Saccharomyces cerevisiae S288C: one gene and its partner. The protein of the gene in region 1 binds, or shares a complex with, the protein of each later gene. Each region holds a gene or a part of one and is shown on either strand. Other genes may lie near its edges. The genes, in order: RPO26 and RPA49.

What was found.
Region 2: RPO26 (region 1) and RPA49 share a complex: the UniProt entries of both Saccharomyces cerevisiae proteins name them as parts of the RNA polymerase I (Pol I) complex.

The regions. Positions count from the first base shown.
Region 1 is NC_001148.4:909,454-912,513, reverse strand, and holds RPO26 (DNA-directed RNA polymerase core subunit RPO26), read right to left. Parts: upstream 1,258-3,060; coding exon 1,238-1,257; intron 1,162-1,237; coding exon 714-1,161; downstream 1-713. Other genes in the region: MLC2 (Mlc2p), read left to right, coding at 35-526; PZF1 (Pzf1p), read left to right, coding at 1,492-2,781. UniProt on the Saccharomyces cerevisiae protein: DNA-dependent RNA polymerases catalyze the transcription of DNA into RNA using the four ribonucleoside triphosphates as substrates.
Region 2 is NC_001146.8:180,803-184,526, reverse strand, and holds RPA49 (DNA-directed RNA polymerase I subunit RPA49), read left to right. Parts: upstream 1-1,918; coding exon 1,919-3,166; downstream 3,167-3,724. Other genes in the region: CRS1 (cysteine--tRNA ligase), read right to left, coding at 1-1,652; MPA43 (Mpa43p), read left to right, coding at 3,505-3,724. UniProt on the Saccharomyces cerevisiae protein: DNA-dependent RNA polymerases catalyze the transcription of DNA into RNA using the four ribonucleoside triphosphates as substrates. Component of RNA polymerase I (Pol I) which synthesizes ribosomal RNA precursors.

The DNA of each region.
Region 1 (3,060 bases):
TTCGAATCGTTTATTGAGCAAACTTGAAGTAGATATGGACCATAGTGAATCGCTAACGTTTAACCAACTTACGCAGGACTACATAAATAAACTCAAAGATGCTTTCCAAATGCTGGATGAGGATGAGGATGGTCTGATTAGTAGGGGAGATCTTACCAAGATATATGCAACATTGGGGAAGACATTGACAGATGAGGAATGGTCCAAAATGGTACCTGACAATGACACCAGTACCGCGGAAGTTGGAGAAGAAGGTGTAAGCTTTCCCATATTCTTATCTATCATGGGGAAGAACTTATCGCAGTTTCCCGAGCGTGAAGAATTGGAAGAAAGTTTAAAAGCCATTGGAAGAGGACACGATTTAAACGTTCCCTTGAATGAGGTCATTGATTCTTTAAAGGAAGCCGGTTTTGAAAATCCTGAGGAAGAATTTGCTAAACTTTTCAAATTGTTTACTACAAATCAGCAAGCGACCGAAGAGAGAACTTTCAGAGGTAAGCTTTTCTTAGATTCAATCACCGATTAAATATTCTATATACACATATCAAAGAAAGCAGTCAGCAGCTTTTTTATTCATACAAACATTTTTATTACCAAATAGGTTATAGCGTGGTTCTCTCGTCCAGTTATTTGCATTACAAAATAAATCGTTCTTTATAGTTATAATAATATACAAACAAAGCAAATACACATAAAGGAAAATGCAGGTGTAATCACAAATCCACAATGAGTTCCTCCACACTCCAGTCCTCAAAGGAACCATCTGGTAAATATCTTCTAATAACCAAAGGAATTTTCTTTTCAGCCAACTCCTTCATGGCAATACGCAATGGATCAGTTTCACCTTCTAAATCTACAAAAACTGGCGCATTCATGGAAATTTGTAGGGCTCTTGTACCTAAAATTCTTGCCCTTTCATATTTGGTCATGTATGGAGTAGTTGCTCTTTGGTCTTTTGGGATGGCCTTTTCCTTAAGTGTCTTTCTTCTTATTTGCTCATGCTGTTGAAAATCTTCTGGGCCATTACCACCAGTAACGATGGTCTTACCGTTGGCATCGGTTGTTTCACCATCCTTGAATTGAGGTTTTTCCTCATAAGTCTCCTCATCAGAAAAATGCTCTACATCAAAATCTTCGAAGTTCTCATTACCGTCGTTAAACCTGTATCACAATGATAGAAGTTAGTAAATATAATTAAAACTAAAGCACGCAATTTCTCCAATATGAATGCACATACGCCTCCTCGTAGTCTGACATGATCACTTGTAGCCTTAATCTTTACACTGTTACCTGCAAAATGTGTCTTTTTAGCCTTTCTTCAAGGTTGTGATTGATGCCTTTGAATGATATTCTTAAAAAAAAAAAAATTTTTTTTTCAATTAAATATCATACTATACGAATAATCAATATACAATGATTATTTATTATAAGAAGAACTAACTATCAAATAAGGGCATTAAGCACAGTAGTAACTGTTGAAATCGCTGTCAAATGGGAGGAGAGGTTCTAAATAATGAAGGAATGCCACTGGCCGAACTTAAACAGGAGACCATTCCCATATCACGATCAGAGAGTTCAGAATCATTGAACAGTTTAACATCAACTAGAAGCTCATCGAGCAATAGGCCAAAGACATATTTCTGTGACTATGATGGCTGTGATAAGGCATTTACAAGACCTTCAATTTTGACTGAACACCAATTAAGCGTACATCAGGGTTTAAGAGCATTTCAGTGTGATAAGTGTGCAAAATCCTTCGTTAAAAAGAGTCACTTAGAGAGACACTTGTATACGCATTCTGATACGAAACCATTCCAATGTTCTTATTGTGGAAAAGGAGTGACGACTCGCCAGCAACTGAAGCGACACGAAGTAACGCATACCAAATCTTTCATTTGTCCAGAGGAAGGATGCAACCTCCGATTCTACAAGCATCCACAATTAAGGGCACATATTTTATCTGTTCATTTACATAAACTAACCTGTCCACACTGCAATAAAAGCTTTCAGAGGCCATATAGGCTAAGAAATCACATTTCTAAACATCACGATCCTGAGGTAGAAAATCCTTACCAATGTACTTTTGCTGGTTGTTGCAAAGAGTTTCGGATATGGTCACAATTGCAATCGCATATAAAAAATGATCATCCTAAATTAAAATGTCCTATTTGTAGCAAACCATGTGTGGGGGAAAATGGTTTACAAATGCACATGATTATTCATGACGACTCACTAGTAACCAAAAATTGGAAGTGTCATATATGTCCTGATATGTCTTTTTCTAGAAAACATGATCTTCTCACGCATTATGGGTCTATTCATACGGAAGAAGATATCCCACTGGAACTAAAATATAAAATTTCTGATATTCAACAACTTGTCCAAGACCACGGAGTTCAACTGGGGAATAGCAAACACTCGAATGAGCAGGATGAAGAGAAGATTTCCAATAGGTTGAGGAAAAGGAGAAAACTTACCGAAAACAATAATGTAGAGTTTTTACAGAATGAAGTGGATTTAGAAAAGCGACTTGAGTCTGGTGAAAATGGGCTAAACCTTTTATTGAATACCGTTGGAAGAAAATACAGATGCTTTTACAATAATTGTTCTAGGACTTTCAAGACAAAGGAAAAATACGAGAAACATATAGACAAGCACAAAGTACATGAGCTAAAGTTAAAAATATTACAGGAAAAGGAAGAAAATAAAACGCTAGTGGACCAGAACCATAAGGAACCTTTTATAATTCAAAAGGAAACGCAGTCAGCGGGTGACAAATAAGCATTTTTTTTTTTTATTTTATATGCTAATTATATTACTGATATACATATTTGCCATTTTGTTACTGCAATTGGTATATCTCACTGTATATAATTATATATTCAATTCAAATGATAGACACATGGATCTTCAAGAGGTAAGAATATCGATAACAAAGAGAAACAAATCCATTATGGCTAATCTTTTTTATTTCAGTTTACTAGTATTGTATTTTTTTTTCTTTTCTTGCATATCTATTTCACCTTTTTTTTGATTATTTTTCTTTAGTTGTGCCCTTTA
Region 2 (3,724 bases), on another chromosome or scaffold:
GTAATGTATGTGTTTGACTTGGTCACTAATTCGCTCAGTGTCTTCAAAGCAACAGGTGTGGATAAATTATCACAGAACGCCGAATGGACTTTCGATTCACTTTCAACAAAATCAGCCAATAATTCTTTCTCTAAGGGACTAAACTTTTTAGAGATATGACCTGCAGAAGCTGCATCGTTCTTCAATGCTCTAATAGTCTTAAAAAAATTGTTCATGGAGTTTTCAAATGACTTTACTTCATGGATCAAAGATTCCTTGAAATCCAATTGATTGTTCCATTGTACTGAGGCAAAAGCCAATCTTAATTGGCGCGGTGAGAATTTTTTCAAAGCTTCTTGAATGGTAATGAAATTCTTTAAGGATTTAGACATTTTTTGACCCTCAATATGTAAATGGCCCGTATGTAAGAAATAGTTGATCCACTGTTGATTGTCGAAGCGAGCCTCGGATTGAGCCAATTCGTTATCATGGTGAGGAAAGGCCAAATCGATGCCACCTGAATGAATATCGATGTTAGAGCCTAGGATATCACTGGCCATCACAGAACATTCAATATGCCATCCTGGTCTACCCTTACCCCATGGTGATTCCCACTCAGGTTCACCTGCCTTGGAAGCCTTCCATAAAGCAAAATCATTATTCGACTTTTTTCCGTTATCAGCAAAGTTGCTTAAGGACCCTTCACCATCATTAATTAAGTCTAACTGGCCCTTATTCCATGGCTGGCATTTAGCATAGTCATGATTTGGGGATTTGTCAAATTTTAAAGTATCAAAGTACACGGAACCGTCGGAAGTGGCATATGCGTAACCATTATCAATAATTTTTTGAACAAAGTCAATAATTTCTGGAACGTACTCAGAAACACGAGTTGTAACGGTGGGAGGTAGCACGTTTAATGATAACATGTCATCATTGAATTTCTGTTCCCAGTAAGCTGGAAGTTGGCGGAAAATCTCTGGATTGCTAATGGTAGAGCCCAATTCTTTATCCAATAGAGGAACCGTAACGTCCTTGACTTTTTCAAAGGCAACTTCTGCGTCCATGGAATCGCCCTTAGTGATTGATTCAATAGCATTTTGAACTGCGGTGACATGCATAGGGAATTTAGGATTCTCCAATTTTAAAGTTTCAGTATCAGCATTCGATAACCAAGTTTCAAATTCTTCGATAGTTTTGATCTCGCTGCCTTGAATAGTAAAATTTTTGTTGATATATTGGAAAAGTGCGGTTTTGACCTTGTCAACAACAGTGGCGTTGAATTTGGTATCATTTTCTTTGACAAAATTGTCAAATAAATAGTTTTGTCTAGCTCTCAAAATAATTTTATCGTCGATATCAGTAACATTTTGCACAAATTGCACGTCGTAACCAAAATAATCTTGAATAATTCTTCTATTGATATCAATAGAGACATAGTTTCTGGCATGACCCATATGGGAGGCATCGTAAACAGTAGGACCGCAAGAGTACCAAGTGACACCTCTATTGCCAGATTGCGGAATGAATTCAACCTTAGATCTTGTTAAACTGTTGTACAACTTCAACACAGTTTCTTTAGCTTGTGGCGTTGGAACCTTCCATTTGGGCTGCACAATCTTCGGCGTAGACATTATAGTATATCTTCTCAGGGCTTTTATGAAGATATTCATGCATAGAATAAGAACTTGACCGGACACCTAATCACCGACGCCAATTAGCAATACTGTTCTTTTCAATTGATAATGTCTTTTGACTCTTCGCGATGAAAAATGTTTGCGGTCACCCGCGCTGAAAATTTTTTATTGCGATGAGCTGAAATTTTCCATCTCATTTTTAATAGTAAGTATTCTTGCATGAACACTAATGATATTAGGAGGGCTTTTTAAGTTGCTACCACTATTGCAGTCGTTATCAACCTTTTGCACTTTATCTAGTAATGTCCGTGAAAAGGTCTGTTTCTGAAATCGAAATTGAAAGTGTTCAAGATCAACCCTCTGTTGCCGTGGGAAGTTTCTTCAAGGGCTTCCGTGCTCCCAGTGACACTACGTTCGACTTATACAAAAAAAAGAAGTCTGAAAAGGACGAATTCGTATTACACGGTGAAAACGAGAGACTAGAATACGAAGGTTATACTGATTCTTCTTCCCAAGCTTCGAACCAGTATGTTGTGGGCCTATTTAATCCAGAAAAGAAAAGTATTCAACTCTACAAGGCTCCCGTACTTGTTTCCAAAGTTGTATCCAAGTCAAGCAAGAATCTAAGGGGTCCAAAAATAAAAAGTAAGAGTGATACTCGTCCATCTGCTTTGAGAAATGCGTTGGGTGAAGCGTTTGGTACTAAAAAGGCTAAAAAAGCTATTGCAGATCTAGAAAGAAACCGTATTGACTCTGATAAGTTGACTGATTCTGCTATTGACATTGTGGATTCCGTGAGAACTGCATCTAAGGATTTACCAACTCGGGCTCAATTGGATGAAATTACTTCCAACGATAGACCTACTCCATTAGCCAATATCGATGCCACTGATGTAGAACAAATTTACCCAATTGAAAGTATAATACCAAAGAAGGAATTACAGTTTATTCGCGTTTCATCAATTCTGAAAGAAGCGGATAAGGAAAAGAAGTTGGAATTGTTCCCATACCAAAACAATTCCAAGTATGTGGCAAAGAAATTGGACTCTTTGACACAACCTTCACAAATGACCAAATTACAGCTACTATACTACTTATCACTATTACTGGGCGTATACGAAAATAGACGCGTGAATAACAAGACGAAGTTGTTAGAAAGGTTGAACAGTCCTCCTGAAATCTTGGTAGATGGTATCTTAAGCAGATTTACCGTGATAAAGCCTGGACAGTTTGGAAGATCAAAGGATCGCTCCTATTTCATTGACCCACAAAATGAAGATAAAATCTTATGCTACATCTTGGCAATCATAATGCATTTGGATAACTTCATTGTTGAAATCACACCCTTAGCACACGAATTGAACTTGAAACCTTCCAAAGTTGTCAGTTTGTTCAGGGTACTTGGTGCTATTGTCAAAGGTGCCACAGTGGCTCAAGCTGAGGCTTTTGGCATTCCAAAAAGTACTGCAGCTTCTTATAAAATTGCCACTATGAAAGTTCCATTTAAGCTACCTGAAATGACAAGAAGAGGAAGAGGTCCAAGACGTTAGAGTTACCTAGAGGTATATACTGAGCATTTGGTTTGCTCTGGTTTTTTTTTTTGCTAGATGGTTCTATAAAGCAGCAAAATATAAGACGGTCCTCCTGATGAGAGGAAGAGAAAAACAAAAATAACTACATAGATATACGCTATTTTTTCTGAGAAGATACATATGTACAAATAGATATTTTACAATAATTTTAAACTTCGCAATAAATTCAATATTAATTCATAGCGTAGTTCGGCTTTCTAGCACCTTAGTAAGCTGAAATTTAAAAATGTATCAGTTTATTTTTTTCAATAAAGGTAACTTTAAATGAGAAACCAACGTGTTATATAGGTGAAATCATGAATAGCAGTCTGCAAGTTGGCATCGGAATTGATGTAGGTTCATCAAGTGCTAGAATAGGTGTATATAATTACTACAATGATGCGCTGTTAGAAATGGCGCAGGAACCAGTCCCATACTACCAGGATTCTTCAAAGAAGTCATGGAAATTCTGGCAAAAATCAACTGAAATAATTAAAGCCCTTCAAAAGTGTCTTCAGAAACTGAACATTAGAGAAT